Ovis aries: one gene and its partners. The protein of the gene in region 4 purifies or fractionates together with the protein of the main gene of each other region. This does not show direct contact. Links are inferred from orthologs where the notes say so. Each region holds a gene or a part of one and is shown on either strand. Other genes may lie near its edges.

Region 1 (4,719 bases), on a different chromosome or scaffold from region 4:
TAGACAACTGAATATTTATTTTTGTTTTACAACCTGATCAGACATCTAAGATTCATGACTTGTGTGACTACTAATAATTAGGTTGGGAAGAGGAGGTTAAAACTATAACTACTTAAAAAAATCTTCACACACAAAACCACTATAAACATCTTTTCACAACAAATCATATTTTTACCATTCAAGCTACACACATAAGTACCTAAGTATGGAGAGAAGAACTTGGAATAAATATTTTTAAAATGTACTTCAAAGTTTAAGATTAAACACATTTACCTAGAACTCAGTTTCTCATTTAAAAGAAAAAAGATATTTGACCTAGTGTTCTTTAAAGCTACTATGATACTTTAACCCAAGTTGTAAAGTGAACAAATTCTATGACTTAATTCAGGTAAACTTCTTTCAGGATAACCCCCTTAAGGATATACTTTACTTACATTCTTCCTACACCTTCATACATGTTAGTCTCATCTACCAAAGTCATAATCTCTGTATCTGTAAGATGTGCATGCTTTTTCGTTCTGTTCAGCTGTTCAATCTGTACATCTGCAAGCTTCACCTTCTGTTGAGTGTCAATAACTTTGGCTTGAAGCTCTGTGAAGGCCTAAAAAGAAATAAGTCCTTGATTTAGTAGGTGCAACATTTTACAGTAAATGTCTATATCAAATCTATTAAAATGAAGCCTGTTAAACAGACAAAGCCGTGAAATTTACCACAGCAAACATCTCAAAGCCAGTCTGCTAAAAACTTGAGCCCTGAACAATTCAGTGATTAGAAGCACTGACCCTCTGTGCAGTTGAAAATCCAAGTATAATTTATAGTTGACTCTCCATATAGCAGTTCCTTTGTATCCCTGGTTCTACATTTGTTGATTCAACCAACTACATATCATGTAGTACTCTAGTATTTACTATTTTAAAAATCTGTGTACAACTGGATCCCTGACGTTTAAACCAATGCTGTTCAAGAGTCAACTGTACTGAACTTACCCAGTCCTCAGAAGATGCAACCTATCTGAAGAAGCTGAACAAAGGCACGGTAAATAACAACCATATCAAGTAGCAGGTACCCAAGGATTAATAAAAGCTCTAAAGGCAACAATCACAAACCCAGAGACCCAAATCAGGAACCATTAATGTAACAACTCACCACATCTGTACTACTCAAGATTATTTAAAGCACTTTCCCACACTTGTTTGAAATATTAACATGTGAATATTAATATGAGAATACTGACATATAATAAATGTCTCATTTTCTCTTTTCAATAATCCTGAGTTAAGGATGGCAGATTCATCAGCACAGTTTACAAATTAACTAAATGTTTTAAAGAGATATAAATGACTTTCACAGGGCTGAGCAACTACTAGGTCAAAAACCAAGTACTTAATTAACTTCTGACCGCTAGTTACTGAATCTTTCTACTCTACTATCCACAGTAATATTCAGAAAATGAATATTTTAAGAGAAAGACACACAAAAAAATTCAAAGCATTGATAAAAGAATTGCATCATGATCTTCATATGCACACGATAAGCCAAACTTGACCTCTGAGTACTGTTAAAAGGTTTTTGATACTTCTGAAGTGCCTAGAATGATTTTCACATGCTGTCAAATTCTGACTTAATAATAACATCTGTGGCTGCAATACATGGCAAAAAGCTACTAACTTTTATTCTGACTTTGTTCTCACCTACTAGTAAGGTTTCAAAAGGTTTATCTAGAGGGGAGAGGAGGTACCTAAAGTTTCCTATTAGTCTCCATCCCTTCCCCTCCCCCCAAAATTATAAACATTAAAAGACCTTTAAACAAGTTTCTTCTGTAATTTTATTGGTTGACAAAACTACCCAATTTAAGTCTGTAATTATCTTCTTAGTTTGCATTCACTGTCCACAGGTTTCCCAGCAACAGACTGAAATAATACTGAGGGGTAAGTCCATTCATAGCTGTATTCTATTGTTAGCTCTCACTAAACCCTAACTTAAATTTGAACTTTTAACGGAAAAAAAAGGTAAACTTTTAAAACACTTTAAGACACAGTTTGGTAAGGAAGCTAGTATTTTGTTAAAGCTGAGATAATACAGCACTAGACAGCACCATAAGGAGTAAAGGTACAAGTTCCAAACAAAAGGCAATACACACACACAAATCCTCAGAGCAATAATACACTGCTTCATCTATTACGTGGAAGAGCTACTTCAACTGTCTTATTTCTCATGCAAAGATAGATTACAAGACAGTCTTAAACAAAATTTGCTCTTCTAACCTCAAGTAGTGGTCAAAAGGTGGAAAGTGAGGCAGAGAATGCAATATTCTAGAACCAAGCTTGGGCTGACTCTTCTGTTAAACTGTTTCCTTTTCTAGAAAAGTATCAGTTTAAAGTAGATGAAGTCTAGGCTCCTTTCCAATCCCCATTCTCCTTCTCTTCGCAAAAAAAAAAAAAAAAAAAAGGATACGCTTTTGAGTCGGTAGTGGTGTTAGAATCCTGACAACTCTCAGGTGGTGAAAACATTTCTGTGTAACAACACATTTCTAGGCAATTGTTTGAAGAGAGAAACTCAATTCCTTCTGATACCAATTTGATCTGGAAACCTTTGACTTGTTTCTTCTTTGACAAATCTTTAAAAACGAGGGTGGGGAGGGGGCGGTTGTTGGCAAAGCCCTAAGATGAACATTGCTACGAGGATACCTGACTGAACTGTATGAAGCGACCTTACAAGATATGGGATTAAAGAACTGACCTAAAAACAGACTGGACTTGGAGTTTTTCAAAGCAAATTAGTATACAGAATTACAGATGCTACAGCTCGGGCAAGCAGGCTAAGAGGCTCCAACTGGAAGCGCTCATTTCAGGCCTCACTATGGAACTGAAGGCACCAAGAGCAACGAAAGGTCTCTGGAGCTCGGAACAAGGGAACAAAACAGCTATAGGCCCGCCAAACTTAACCAGGCCCAGCCCAACCGGCTCTTACCCGGCAAAGAGCCGCTCGCCCTCGACTCCCGCCTAAGGAGGCCCGGTCCCGCCTTTGCACTCTGAGAAACCACTCCCCATTTCCCTGGGGCCTCTTTCCTTCCGCAGCACTCGAGACTCACTCGACATTATTGTCCACAGTCGCCTTAGCTTCCAAAGAAAAGCTTCTGCCTGCTCAAGACCCTCTTTTACCTTCTTCAACTCCAGATCCACGGGGGCCGCCATCTTGCTTCACTACTGCGCCTGCGCAGTGGGAGAAGCCCGGAAAGAGCGTGGGGGAAGGGCGCGCCCTGAAGATTTGATAGGGCCTCTTCCTTCTGCGCCTGCGCATGAGTGGGGCTGCTTGGTTTTCCTACCTTCCCCGTCGTTATTAACGCCTGAAATAACCGGGATTCCGATTCAGAGTACGTCTTCCCCACGTGACCTATGGGCCTGCCGTGATTCTCCACATCCTTCCAAACACGGCACAATCTGCAGATTTCGTGTGTGTGTTTTTTTAATATAAATTTATTTATTTTAATTGGAGACTAATTACAATATTGTATTGGTTTTGCCATACATCAACATGAATCCGCCACGGGTGTACACGTGTTCCCCATCCTGAACCCCCCTCCCGCCTCCGTCCCCTCGTGTGTGGTTTTAACCACTTCGACAAATAGTTTAGTTTGTGTCGCTAAATTAAGATGTATGTAGATCAAGCTAAAACCTTTAAAGTCATTCATGCCTTCAGCGAGTCCTGTGCTGTCAGGGAGGGATGAGAAAGAATCAGCCTGAGTTTCAGACATGGCAGCATGGAGAAGACCAGAAGGCTTCAGTTCAGTTCAGTCGCTCAGCCGTGTCCAGAAGGCTTAGTTGAAGCGTTTTCCCAAAGAACTTATTTATACTGAATGTTCTCAGAAGACCTTGTAGACACAGGAGTTCTCACGAGAAACCAAATTTCTTTTTAAAAGAAAAAAAAAATGCAGATTCTCTGATCCTCATCCCAAACTTACTTAGAATCTTTGATATGGGGCACAGAAATACATACTTTTGCAAACTCCTTTTATGATCTGATCTAAGTGGACTGCAAACCACATTTTGAAAATCTGCTGTAAAATAGCTGGCATTTGAACCAGAAGGATGACTAGAAGGATGGACATGAAAGAAATGGATATCTTCCTTACTCTAAAAACCTGTGAGGCAGGGGAAAGGGCAGGGAGTTTGGAACTAAACAAATCTGTATTCAAGGTTTGGTCTACACTGAGCGTAGGTATGTCTGCTTCCATTTACTAGTTGTGTATCAACAGAGTCTGTCTCCTCATTTAATATGAGAATAACAGTACTGACCTAACAGAGTTATTCTGAGGAGTAAACAAGATCAGGATGGAAAGCTCCAAGCATAGCACAATGCACACAGTAGGCACACAATAAAAAGGTATAATTAAGTTCATGTAGTTAGCATTGTTATATTTGTCTTTCAAGATACAGCAAGCAGCAGACACATAATATGTATCCATTATGTATTTTTTTTATTTTTTACATCACACAGACCATAAATAATCTCTCCTTGGAATTTCAAGACTACTTCTGTTCCTTTTTCAAGACACATGACACTATCTGTCTTAAAAATTTTTTTTTATTAGACTTATTAGCTGTTCAAATGTCCATCATTCGACAAATGGATAAACAAAATGTGAGGACATTATGCTAAGTGAAATAAACCAGTCACAAAAAGACAAATACTGTATGATTCCATTGTACAAGGAACTTG
Region 2 (3,535 bases), on a different chromosome or scaffold from region 4:
AATGCTGGAAAAAGGGATAGTGAAAAAAAGAAAAGGAAAAGGAGAGTTGGTTCCTTTCAGGACTCTTCTCTCCTAGTCCCCACTCCCGTCTTACTCTGCACCATCAGCCAACCCACTGGCCCCTTTTCCATTCTCAGACTCACTTTGGCTGCACTCGCAATGTCCACAGCCTCCACGATGTCAGCCTGGCGAATCTTTGCCGTGTCCTCCCCATCCTCTCCTTCCAGAAACCTGCAAGTGAGCGTGAGAGTTGCATTAAAGCTTCCTAATAAGAAGTGGGTATCCCAGCATCACAATCAGAAATTAGAGCCCCATAAATCAGGGATTGGGGAGGCCCACATCAGGGTCCACTCACCCAGGTTCTTCAGCAAGCAGAAGCTCAGATCGAGCAGCTCTGACACTTGTTTCCTCTTCTTGTGCTTCAGCCACCGCAAGTCGGCTTCGTGTCTTGGTCTTCGCATGTGGTAGCTAAAACAGCGGTGAGAGATGAAGTGAGAGAAGGACCAAGGGATGCGGGGGTCACAGGAGAGCCCCGCCTCCATTCAACTCACCCAGACACTCCCTCCTGCAACCGCTCCCCACTCTCCGACTAGCCCTCACCTCCTTGGATTTGTCAATGCGACAGTACTTCCGAACCACCTCCACACTGACAGGGGCGGGGCCTGCAAATGGGTCCTGGGCCTGCGGCAGGGAGGAGGCAATTAAGAAACAGGCTCGAGCTGACCCCAACCCCCCGACCCTGAAAGCACAAGGCGACTTGCCTCGGCACCCCGGGAGGTCCCAGGCTCACCCCAGAAAAGGTCCGCTGAGGCCCCGGACTCTTCAGTTCTCGGGGTTTCTTGGAGATCCGAAACTTCTTTGAGGTGTCATTTCTCTTTGGCTTCTGGGGGCGGAGCTCTCGACTCCTCTTCCGTTTATGAGGGGGACCTGGAGAAGCTCCGGCCGCAGTCCCAGTGGTCTCTTGCTCCCAGTATCGCCGCGGTTTCTACCAACAGAGCAGGATCCCTCGTATTCCGCTGCCCTTCGCCCCGCCCCTCGAACCCCGCAAATAAAAACTTCCTTTCCACCCCAAGGAGATCCCTACCTTCTTCTTGGCTTGCAGTCTGTCCTTCTTGGGTGGAACATTACTGCCCGGCTTGGGGACTGTCTCCATCTAGCCCACTCGAACCACGATCCACGTGCAAACTCCTCTCCACAGTCCCACAGTGTGATGGAAAACTCCCGGAAGTCCTCCGAGACTCATCCAATCAGCGCCGTTCCAGGTCTGAAGCCTCCTAGGCGCCATCTTTAATGAGGGCGCGCTCCCCACTGAGGGGCGGGACCAAGGCCCCCAGTGCGGCAACTTATGCCCAAGTGATGAAAGACGGGCAGTCCGAGGCCAAGACCCAAGCAACCCTGCAGTTTCTTTTCCCATCTCGGTTTCTCCATCTTGCCTTAAATCCTTCCGCTTCTGGTCTTTTTAGCAGAACGCCACACATTGACCATATTAGAACTACATTTCCCGGCGTGCGCCGGCTCACAGCTTCCGGTGCCGTCTTTCCCCAGCATTCTCTATTTACTTCCGGGTTCACCAATACTGAAGTGAGAGCGTGAGTAGGGGAGCGGTTCGGCTGAGGAGTTCGGGGTACTGCCACTCCCTGAGGCTGGGGGTGAGTCGATATCCCGGACCAGGAGAGACTGCAGTGGGTGGCCCGAGGGGCTGCCTCTCAAGAGGGCTGTCACCTCCGCAGGCCAGAAAGGGGAGCCCGGGTACCTTCCAGAGCGTGAGACCCAGCGCCCCTCTCCCGCTGCCCGCAGGCTTTCGTCCCCGCCATGGCTGAGCTAATCCAGAAGAAGCTGCAGGGGGAAGTGGAGAAATATCAACAGCTGCAGAAGGGTAAGGGAGCAGGGTAGGGGTGACCTCGCGGCAATTCACTCACAACCTGTCTATACCCGAATAATGTATTCTGTCCCACCTCTGGCCCCAGCCTGCGGCTCCTTCCCCTTCTCTGTAGTCTTCCCATTCCCTGTCCCGCCTGCTCATCCTTGCCTGCTTCCTCAGCTCCGCCTTCTTACCAGGACTGTGGTGGTCGGGTGGCACATGAGATGTCTCTAAACAAACCTTTTCATCCGGCAGACTTGAGTAAATCCATGTCAGGGAGGCAGAAACTAGAGGCACAACTAACAGAAAATAATATCGTGAAGGAGGTGAGAGACTGAGATTTGTGGGGCGAGGGGGGACCTGTCTTGGAAGTGATTCTGATGTTTTTCCCACTCCTCCACCAGGAACTGGCCCTGCTGGATGGGTCCAACGTGGTGTTTAAACTTCTGGGGCCCGTGTTGGTCAAACAGGAGCTGGGGGAAGCTCGGGCCACAGTGGGGAAAAGGCTGGACTACATCACAGCTGAGATGTGAGTCTTCCTTCCACCCCACTGTGTTATACTTGATCCGTTGGGAATAAAGGTGCTGAGAAACCTTTCTAGAGTCATTCTCCAGAGCAGCCCCCATTTGAGCAGGTTCTTCAACTCCTTCCTGTGTCCTTCAACTCCTTCCCTTTTCTTCATACTCCCCTTAGAGCTCAAGTTTCTGACCAATCTTGTCTTCAGCACCCTCAAGAGTAAGTCTCACTAATTTCTCATTTGCTTTTTTGCCCTTCCTCAGTAAGCGGTATGAATCCCAGCTCCGAGACCTAGAGCAGCAGTCAGAACAACAGAGGGAGACCCTGGCTCAGCTGCAGCAGGAGTTTCAGAGGGCGCAGGCGGCAAAGGCAGGGGCTCCTGGGAAAGCCTGACCCTGTCCTGGGGGGGTGGGCGGGGGGAGGAATGCGGCAGCTCTAGGGTCTATACTGTAGCTAATAAAATGTGAAAATACCTGGCGTGTTCTGACCAGCCACTTCTGTTGTAACTGTCTCCATCCTTTCCTCTGGTCCCTTCTCCCTCACCCCTATATCACCTGCATTACTCTCTTAGATCCAAATTTGTGCACTGAAATTTGTGTGTGGCAGAGTAACCCTTCTTTCTTGAGACTAAACTCCGAAATGTCTCAAACCTAATCCTTGCCTGTACATGCAAGCCTTAACTCTCTCTTCTCTTGATTGGAAGCAACCAAGAAAAGGGCATTGACAGTGAAACAATTTGGGGGAAAGTTAAGTTTCATTGAAAAACTCACAATTCTCTAACCTGCAGTCCCAGAATGGAACATGGTAATCCTCTTTTGCTATGATTTCTTGTCATCCTCAGAATAGCCCTGGCATCTTAGTTCTTTTTAGTCTCTTTTCTTCCTAGACTTTGTTTAAATGTAGCTTAAATTGGATTTCATATCCCAGCACATAATGCATTGTGATATTCTGAGACCTCCAAGTTTGTACATTGTCCACGAAGTGGTTCTTCCATTTCTTTGTCCTAACATTGTCTTAGGAATTCAGAGCCAAGGGTGTTTTTCATACTGATGGCTTTAATTGGGTACTTGACGTGGGTGTGTAACAACTGAGGAGAAAAACGAAAGAGCCAATAACAGGACCAGGGGTGGGGAGGTTGCTGGGGAGGCATAAACCATT
Region 3 (4,743 bases), on a different chromosome or scaffold from region 4:
AGACGCAGGAGATAAGGGTTCAATCCCTGGGTGGGGGAGATTCCCTGGAGGAAGGCACGGCAACCCACTCTAGTCTTCTTGCCAGGAAAATCCTGTGGACAGAGGAGGCTGGCAGGCTACAGTCCATGGGATCGCAGAGTTGGACACCACAAGTGACAACAGGTGAGCACGTGCTTACCACCTTGAAAGGAGTATTTTAGCCAAAACCAAGCAACAAGAAAAAGGAAGAGAAACACAGCAAAGGAGTGAACTATGAAGCCATCAAGTTAGACACTGTAAAAAAAGAAAACTGAAAAAGCCTGAGGCAACAGCTGAGTTCTGCATGGCGATCAAGTGCAAGGAGATAGCATTTTGGAGATAGCATCTTCCTAGAAGGATTGTTATAGGAAAAGAAATGTTTCTGGCACATGTTATTAGAAGCTTAGACACGAGCAAGGAGAAGGAACTACAGCAGCAAAAGTCTGTGGTTAAGACCCAGGAGCTGCATGGCTTGAATGCTGGCTGCATCACGTACTAGCTGTGTGGACCGTGAGGCAGTTGTTTAATTCTTGTCTTGGCCTCAATTTCCTCATCTGTAAAAGAAAAAAGTGCCTCTTCCCTACAGGGGATTAAATGAGTTACCACATGTCAAAGACTCAGAAGAGGACACAGAAGCTAGTAAGTGTTCAACAAACATTAGATATGGCTAAGGGAACAGATGGAAGCACCAAGAATTCTACCCCAGGGTGGTGGTCAGAAAAAACTACAGAGATCATATCTGAACTAGATGTTGAGAGATGGTGCAGCCAAACAATGGACAAGGGGGGAAAAGATCAATTAAAGCAGAGAAAGAAAAAAATTACTGTACCAACTGGAATGGGGAAAAGGCAATCTGACTTCTAACCACTATGGTACATTGCCTTATTACCGAAATGAATATGTATTAAGTATCTACTTGCAATACTGAAAGCACATTCTCTGTTTCTCAGAAGAAATCTGTAAGTAATGTTATCCTTATTTCAGTTAAGAAACAGAGGGGCTCAAAGTTGTAAAACAATATGCTCAAGATAAGCAGCAACTGGGAAGCAGAGGCAGGATTCAAACTCTAGTCTCGAAACCAATGTTCTTTCTAAAATACCATGCTATTTCCCATTAGTTGGGGAACATTAAAATATTTATATAAATGTGGATTGTTTATATAATGTATTGATGGAAATTTTAAAGATCTAGAAAAAGCAACTCATAACATTTTAGAGAAAATGCATTTTAAGATAACACTTTATATAGCCCCTTGATAAACTTCATCTTCCTGAATTAGATTTCTGAAGCCATCATTTGTTAAGCACCATGAATGCAGGATTTTAAGGCATTATGGAAATTCAATCTGACATTTAGTTATGAGTTTATACTGTGTGTCAGGCACTGTGCTAGGATCGGGGGCAAGATAATGACCTCACTTTCCTCCCAGCAGCAGAGCATGGCATGGAAGTAGAGGTCTGGAGCCCACAGACTGACCAAGTTTAAAGCTTGGATAACTCACTCACACATTGTGTGACTTGGGGCAAATTACTCAAGGGCTCTGGGGCTCAGTCTGAACATGTACAAAATGAGAATAACAGTATTTGCCTCTTACTGAGTTGTGTAAAAGCATTAGAATGTGCCTGGTACTCAACAAATTTTGTCTCTTGTTGATGATTAAGTGGGAGATGAGTGGAAGGAAATACATGGCACACTTCAAGGACAAAAATAAAATAAAATAGGACAAAACTGAGTCAGCCAATGCAAATATTCATACAGTGCATATAAAAGTGGTCTAAATAAAAGACAAGGGTCTTCTGAACGGTGGACGATTTCATCAACAAAAAGCCAATCCAGGTTCGATGCATAAGACAGGGTGCTCAGGGCTGGTGCACTGGGACGACCCTGAGAGATGGGATGGGGAGGGAGGTGGGAGGGTGATTCACGATGGGAAACATATGTACACCACTGGCTGATTCATGTCAATGTATGGCAAAAACCAGTACAATATTGTAAAGTAATTAGCCTCCAATTAAAATAAATAAATTCTTTTTAAAGGCAGAGATTAAGACAATATCGGGACAAAGCAAAAGGTGGAGAAATTTCCATTAAGGTTTCATAGTAGTTCAGCCAGAACTGAGTGGAGAAAGATGGGTGATACTGGCCTGGAACACCCATCAGGTTTTCTCAACACTCAACTAGTTCTCAAACACTATTTCGAGTACAGCCTTATGGAGAGACAGGATTGAAAGCCTCTACGTGCTTCTCTGTTTGGCCTTGGTTTAGTCTCCCCGTTCAATGAACCCTCCAATACTGCACTGCCGGCTTCCTCTGTGAACTGCACCCTATGGACTCTCTACGTTGTTAGAACCGTGTACCTCAAAGTGATTACAAGTGGCTTCACTAGAAGGAAATGGCAACCCACTCCAGTATTCCTGCCTGGAAAATCCCATGGACTGAGGAGCCTGGTAGGCTACAGTCCATGGGGTCACAGAGTTGGACACGACTCTGCAATTTCACTGTCTAATGAGCGCCCGCAGCCAGCGGGCTAAGGCCTCCATGGCCTAGCGGGTTTCACATGGCCTTCGAGAGCTTTCCCGGCCGACGCCCCCATCATGGGGTCTTCTTCGGAAGCCACAGGCCGCCGCAGCCCTTCTACACCCGAGATGTCATTTCCGAGCTTCACACCTGAGCCCCAGCTCCGTTACCCCGTCCCCCTCGGTCTCCCCAGAATCCAGGCTGAGGGTCCAGCTTCTCACCGCCTCCCGTCTTCTCGGAAGCGGGGTCGGAACCGCAGGCCACGGAGGGCGGGGGAAGGCGGTCCCTCAAAGCGGCCCGCCTCCGCCCCCAAGTCCTCCGGCCCCGCGCCCGCTTAGCGCCTGTGACCTGCTCGGACGGCAGGCCCCCTCCCAGGCAGGTCCCGCCCCAGTTTAGTCCGTCCAGGCCGGAGCGCCCCCTCCCAGGTAATTGGGCCCAACGCCTCTCTCCCCAACAACCAAGTCCCCGGTGAGGGGCCAGGAAGAAAGGGTACAACAGCGTAGCATCAAACACCCGCTGGCCACTCACCACAAAAACCGCTTCAGGAATCCCCAGGTGGAGTCGCCTCCCGTTCCCCGCAGCCACTTCTCCTACACCACAACCGTCCTTAGAGGCCGCCATTTTGGAGAAGCGAGCGCGCGACTAACGTGCCTCGCGAGCGGCCTGTAGCCGGGGGCCTGTGATTGGCTCGGGTCACAGTCGCGGGCCCGCCCCCCCGCCTGGGAGTCTGTGCGTTCGTTGGCTTACAGGAAATACCCCCCGCCCCGTCCCCCGCTCGGCAGAGTCGCTCGATCTGTGGGCTCTAATTGGCTGCGCGGGTGAGTGACAGGAGTGGAAGGGCCGCGGAGGCGAGGCTGGCTCTGCGGGAAGGACCAATACCGAGTCCTGGGAAAAGGGATTCCGGGGGTTTTGTGGGTGGGGCGGCGGGCTGGAGGATGCGGACAATCCCGGAAGAAGCCGGAATAGACTCCACTGCCAGCCCGGAACAGGCCTCTCCAGAAGAACCATCGGAGCTACCCGATCCCTTCTCGAATTCAAGCAGACTCGAGACCTAGACGCCACCACGGGACTTGGGCCTCGGTGACATTCTGGGCCCACGATCCTCGCGAGCTTTTTGGCTCCTGAAGGGTGCTTGTTTTGAGCCTGCTTCCGAGGGGACCTAGTGGCCTGATTCTAATAAATACCCCGCCCGTTGCATCACAATTTACCGAAAGCACCTCTGATCAGACTCTCACCACCAGCTCAAACGTTTTCAAAACTTCACACTGTCCATATTAATACAAAATCCTAAGAACTTTCCCGATGTTTCTAGACCCAAGGAATCCCCAAGCTCATTCACCACTACCCCCCTGTTTTCTGACATCGGAGCACCATGTTGGTTCCTGCCTCGGGCTTCCCTGGTGGCTCAGTGGGTAAAGAATCCACCTGCCAATGCAGGAGATGCAGGAAACACAGGTTCAATCCCTGGGTCAGGAAGATCCCCTGGGGAAGGAAAGGACAACCCACTCCAGTATGCTTGCCTGGGAAATCCCATGGACAGAGGAGCCTGGTGGGCTACAGTCCATGGGGTCACAGAGTCAGACGTGACTTAGTGACCAAACCACAACTAAGAAACACGGACGTCTCTATCTTGCCTGCACAGGGTAGGAAAGGAGCACAGGTGAAGACACTACCTGAGTTATTTAAAAATTAAAATGCAATGGGTACCAACAAGGCTGTCGTAAAGATTAAATGAGATTATGTATATAGACTACCTGGGTTTTCCTGCTGGTTCAGATCGTAAGGAGTCTGCCTGCAATGCACAGATTCGATCCCTCGGTCAGGAACATCCCCTGGAGAAGGAAATGGCAACCCCCTCCAGTATTCTTGCCAGGAAAATCCCATGGACAGAGGAGCCCGGCGGGCTATGGGCTACAGTCCATTGAGTTGCAAAGAGGCAGACACGACTGAGCGACTAACACTTTCACTTTTCCCACAGAATACCTAATAAGTACTTGGCATACAGTAGGACTACAGTAGTGAGGGAACTAGGCCAGGATGAAGAAGTGGAAAGAGGGAGGCAATTGTTGTTCAGCTGCTAAGTTAAGTGGGCAGAGCTTTGAGCTGGACTGAGTGGTGAAGGACAGAGTTTCCCGGAGAGTTTGGAGGATGGCAAAGAGGGCGCTACTAGAGGTGGGGTAAAGGCTAGACGACTGGGAAGAAGGGAGG
Region 4 (4,438 bases):
TCAGCGGCTGTGAGGAATGGATGATCTGGTGCAGGTCGCTCTCCATCAGGTCCAGGACCACGTAGCTGAGAGGCAGGGGAGAGACGCAGGCTGTCTTGCCCAAACTCCAACCCCACTGTCACGCCCTCCCAGCTCCAGACAGGTCAAGGTCTTACTCTTAGACCCTGCAGGGGCTGCCCGCATGGTATCAAGATTCTCTACAACTTTTCCATGGACTCAAGTGAAATCACTTTTCTCTCCAGGCCTAGCTTTTCTCATCAGAGAAAAGATGAGGCTGGACTAGACCAGCCTGGCCCCCAGGGTTTAGTTTGGGGGCCCTCTTCGTTGTGTGGTAGTGGCTGCTTGAAAGGCTATGATGAAAATTTAAAGGCTTCTGCAATCTGCAGGACAGTGTTCTGTGACTGACTAGTGACGTCTGCTACTGGAATAGGAAAGAACAGACATAGGATGAATACCCTACATTTGCCATGCTATATACTGAGATTCTGGGCTTCCCAGGTGGCACCAGCAGTAAAGAACCCACCTGCCAACGCAGGAGACGCGGGTTCGATCTCTGAGTCAGGAAAGATCTCTTGGAGGAGGGCATGGGAACCCACTTGAGCATCCTTGCCTGGAGAATCCCCAGGGACAGAGGAGCCTGGCAAGCTACAGTCCACAGGGTCGCAAAAAGTCAAGACATGACTGAAGTGACTTAGCATGCACACATACTGAGATTCTATAAACCTGTCACTTCTATACTTTCTTTGAAGAAATCATAGCTGTCCCTGGCAAACCCTTAGGGAGCACTGGTCCTGGAGTCATGGGAATTTCCCCAGCCTACCCTACATTAGGTTCAGCTGCCCTTCCAGAACTTTAGCAGAGTGGCTCCAGCCTTCAGAAAAGGTGCCAACTCTGCCTCCCTCCCTATCCCTGCTCCTTACACAGATTTGAACTCGCCATAGGGTACAGTGGGCCTCAGGATGTCCTTTATGGCAATGATGTTGTCATGCTTGAAGTGCTTGAGGATCTTCAGCTCTCTGAGGGTCCGCTTGGCATTGGTCACCACGTCAAAAGCATTAGGGATCTTCTTAATGGCCACCTGCTGGCCTGGGGAACAGGGGAAAAGTAGATGCCACTTGGGATAGCTGGTGAGCTGCAGAGTAGCACATGGCCTCTTTCGATATGCTATGCATGTGACAACAGCTACCACAGAGGACCTACTATGTGCCAGATCCTGTGCTGAGCACAGTAGGTACATGACCACATCTCCCCTTCACCTCTGTCCCAAGGCAGGTACACAGCTCAAAGTCACAGACATGGAGACCTGGGCACAGCAATTTGTTGGGCACACTGCACAGCTAGTTAGCAGTACCGCCCTACACTCTGTGCGTCTCAGGCCTCTTCATCCCACCACCAACCCAATGCCTGCTGTCTGCTCCACAACGCACTCCGGTGAACCTCCATTCTGATATCACCCAGACTGTCACCTTTCTAAGGAGGAAGCAGACTGCTGCGCTGGCAGAGCCAGCAGAGTTTCTAGAGACCCGAGCCCAACACAGAGGCCGGCCCCCAGACAGCGCCCAACCCCTGCTTGCTGACTTGACTGAGATTTCACATCCCAGCTTCTCTGCTGGCTGCTGGGACGGCGGGTCCCACCCCCCCAGGACTTGGTTCCCACACATGAGAGCGGCCGGGAGGGTCGCTCACCAGTGAGGCGGCGGCGCGCGGAGGACACTACCCCGTAGGCCCCGTTGCCAATGGTCTCGATGATCTCGTACTCGTCCCCCACGTCGAAGGTCACGTCGAAGGACCGCGCCTTCAGCAGGGCCAGGTTCTTGGCCGCCACCGAGGCGGCGGTGCCAGCGGGTTCCGCTTTCACCGGCCCAGGGGGCTCCCCGGAACCGTCCTCACCGTCGTCCTCCTTCAGGGGCTCGGCCATGGCGTCTGCGTGGACACGCGGGCGAGGAGGGGCCCGGCCCCGGACTCAGGGGCCCCTCGGAGGCTCCAGACCCGCAGGCCGAGCAGCACGTGCACTCCGCGTCCCGCACGCTCGGGAGCCCCCAGCTCAATCCAGCGCGGGAAGCGGGGTCGGCGGTGGGGGAGGCGCCGCGAGGCGCGGTCCAGGAAGAAAGCGAGGGGCGGGCCGCCCGCTCTTCTTGGTCCTCACTAGGCTAATGGTGCCTCACCCCGACGCCGCTCGGGCCCTCGACGCCGCCCAGGCGTCCAGCCCCGGGGTCGGGGTTGGGGGGTGGGACCCGAATACCCGCTCCCTCAATAGGTCTGGCAGCCGCCACCACCTCAGCGGAACGCTCAACTCCGCCGGTCTCCCGCCCCGCCCCCTCAAGACCACTCCCCTCAGCCTCTGACCAGTCCTTGAATGGCCTTTACTGAGGTCCCCACCCCTTCCACTTGCTCCCCCAATCCGCGCCTACCTTCCGAGGAAGCCACGCCTTCACCCGCGCCCGCGCCTTGGTCCAGTCTCCAGGAGGGAACCACCCAACCCGCGCTCGGCGCTTAGCCGGGGCGCGGCCGCCTGGCTCGGTCCTCGGACGCAGGCGCGCCAGCAGCCCCGGGCGCCGCGAGACTGCGAGGCACCGCCTCCTACGTGCGCGCGCGCGCATCCGCTCCGATCTTCCAGGTCCTCTCTGGTCAGTTGCTGGTGGCCTCGGGATCTTGGAGGGCTGTTACCGGTAGTTACCATCACTCAGTCCCCTTTAGGCCCCTCTTCCCTTATCAGCCCCTATAAGCCCGAGTTTTGCGTCCCCCGTTTTCCCGATGGGCCCCGGAAGCCTGGCGCTTGGGAATGCGTGGTCCCAGGTAGACGGTGATCCGTCACATCCAACCACAGAGATCCCGGTCCTCCGGGTTCTAGAGCGTCGGCTCAAAGCCGCCCTGACTTCCGGTATCTGTCCTCTCAGCTCAGCTTCCGGCGCCCCGGACTTCGGCCAGCGGTTCGCTAGCCTCTGCCGTGAACCTTCCGTGGGGCGGCTCCGTCCAGCGACTCCCGCGCTGTGGCTGCAGGGCAGCAGGCAGGGCCACAGGGTCAGCTGCGCCTGGAGGAGGCAGAGCTCCGCCGGAGCCAGTGCCCTGCCAATCTTCAGGGCCAGCGTTCGACCTCGCAGCGAGTGCGCGCCGAGCGCTGATCCTCTGCGTCCTGAGGCGGCTCACGGGAGGTCGTGTGTCCTCCAGTGACTGAGGAGAAGAGAGCCAGGGGGCGGGGATCCCAGAAGTTAGGCCTGAGGGCCCTAGGGAGGGTCCATCCCTTAGACTGGAAAGGAATTTTGTTTACATTCCCCACTGTTGGGAGGTTTATTTTTTACTAAAACATACTTACAGGAAGTTCCACACAGCGTAAGTGTATGAATAAATTCACAAACTGAACATATCAGTATATCGAAGTCACGTGGAGGAAAAAAAAAATCGAGAACATTTCCAGCACTTCAGAAACCCTTTCTCTTTTCTAGTGGTTACAACTTCTTTCTGTTGACTCTTTTCCATACTTTGGGGGTCGGTTGCCGTGAATTCTAGGAGATTCACTGGGGCCCATACATTAAGATGGAAAAGTGGAGATTGCATTTTAAAAATACAACATCAGGGAAAATGTCTGAGAGCGTAACGTCAGCTCTAGGACAAATAAATGGAGAAGGCAATGGCACCCCACTCCAGTACTCTTGCCTGGAAAATCCTGTGGACGGAGGAGCCTGGTAGGCTGCAGTCCATGGGGTCGCTAAGAGTCGGATATGACTGAGCGACTTCACTTTCACTTTTCACTTTCATGCATTGAAGAAGGAAATGGCAACCCGCTCCAGTGTTCTTGCCTGGAGAATCCCAGGGACGGGGGAGCCTGGTGGGCTGCTGTCTCTGGGGTCGCACAGAGTCGGACACAACTGAAGTGACTTAGCAGCAGCAGCAGCAGGACAAATAAATACCTCGTATTTAAACATGGAAAGATCACTTGGACCTCCTGAGTTAACCATACCTTTGGTTCTGGTTTTCCTGAAAGCATAGCAAAAAGCCAGATTATCTGTTACATGATTTGCCTTGACCATTAATAAACCATATTCATGGGGAGTGGACATTTTCTGCACTGAGTTCTGAAAACATTTCCATGATGGCCTTTCCTTAAGTGACACGGTAGACAACCTTCCTTAACTCTGACGTATGTGTGCATTAAGTTCTGCAGTGTCCATCAGTGAAAAGAGAGGGCATAAACCTGCAGGACCCAGAAACATGTCTTCTCAGGGAACCCAATGCCCAGTTCTGTGACAATCTGGTCTGCTAAAGGAATAAAGCATAAGATAGCAGAAAAGACCCATACATTTTGAATGCTTTAAATACTTCTTTAGAAATATTTCAGCTAGAATTGGTATACAAGTTATAGACGATTCAACTTTCTCTGGCAAAACCTCCCTGTTTCTCATTTACTTTTTAAAAAATATTTTACTTATTTGTTTGGCTG

Evidence for each region.
Region 1: the proteins of MAPK7 (region 4) and PFDN1 purify together in Homo sapiens (affinity purification with mass spectrometry; 3 studies listed by BioGRID and IntAct, with this or other methods). This does not show direct contact. The link is inferred for Ovis aries from reciprocal best matches to the Homo sapiens genes MAPK7 and PFDN1.
Region 2: the proteins of MAPK7 (region 4) and PFDN6 purify together in Homo sapiens (affinity purification with mass spectrometry; 3 studies listed by BioGRID and IntAct, with this or other methods). This does not show direct contact. The link is inferred for Ovis aries from reciprocal best matches to the Homo sapiens genes MAPK7 and PFDN6.
Region 3: the proteins of MAPK7 (region 4) and VBP1 purify together in Homo sapiens (affinity purification with mass spectrometry; 3 studies listed by BioGRID and IntAct, with this or other methods). This does not show direct contact. The link is inferred for Ovis aries from reciprocal best matches to the Homo sapiens genes MAPK7 and VBP1.

The regions. Positions count from the first base shown.
Region 1 is NC_056058.1:49,169,888-49,174,606, forward strand, and holds the start of PFDN1 (prefoldin subunit 1), read right to left. Parts: upstream 3,211-4,719; 5' UTR 3,195-3,210; coding exon 3,162-3,194; intron 602-3,161; coding exon 435-601; intron 1-434. UniProt on the Homo sapiens protein: Binds specifically to cytosolic chaperonin (c-CPN) and transfers target proteins to it. Binds to nascent polypeptide chain and promotes folding in an environment in which there are many competing pathways for nonnative proteins.
Region 2 is NC_056073.1:7,615,206-7,618,740, forward strand, and holds PFDN6 (prefoldin subunit 6), read left to right. Parts: upstream 1-1,557; 5' UTR 1,558-1,589; exon of another isoform or gene 1,590-1,649; intron 1,650-1,730; 5' UTR 1,731-1,812; coding exon 1,813-1,876; intron 1,877-2,116; coding exon 2,117-2,187; intron 2,188-2,265; coding exon 2,266-2,390; intron 2,391-2,640; coding exon 2,641-2,770; 3' UTR 2,771-2,850; downstream 2,851-3,535. Other genes in the region: WDR46 (WD repeat-containing protein 46), read right to left, coding at 1-4, 144-231, 356-468, 601-681, 791-985, 1,085-1,153. UniProt on the Homo sapiens protein: Binds specifically to cytosolic chaperonin (c-CPN) and transfers target proteins to it. Binds to nascent polypeptide chain and promotes folding in an environment in which there are many competing pathways for nonnative proteins.
Region 3 is NC_056080.1:81,701,432-81,706,174, reverse strand, and holds the start of VBP1 (prefoldin subunit 3), read right to left. Parts: upstream 3,180-4,743; 5' UTR 3,157-3,179; coding exon 3,064-3,156; intron 1-3,063. UniProt on the Homo sapiens protein: Binds specifically to cytosolic chaperonin (c-CPN) and transfers target proteins to it. Binds to nascent polypeptide chain and promotes folding in an environment in which there are many competing pathways for nonnative proteins.
Region 4 is NC_056064.1:33,842,442-33,846,879, forward strand, and holds the start of MAPK7 (mitogen-activated protein kinase 7), read right to left. Parts: upstream 3,156-4,438; 5' UTR 2,412-3,155; intron 2,298-2,411; exon of another isoform or gene 1,924-2,297; 5' UTR 1,919-1,923; coding exon 1,687-1,918; intron 1,087-1,686; coding exon 921-1,086; intron 915-920; exon of another isoform or gene 524-914; intron 66-523; coding exon 1-65. UniProt on the Homo sapiens protein: Plays a role in various cellular processes such as proliferation, differentiation and cell survival. The upstream activator of MAPK7 is the MAPK kinase MAP2K5.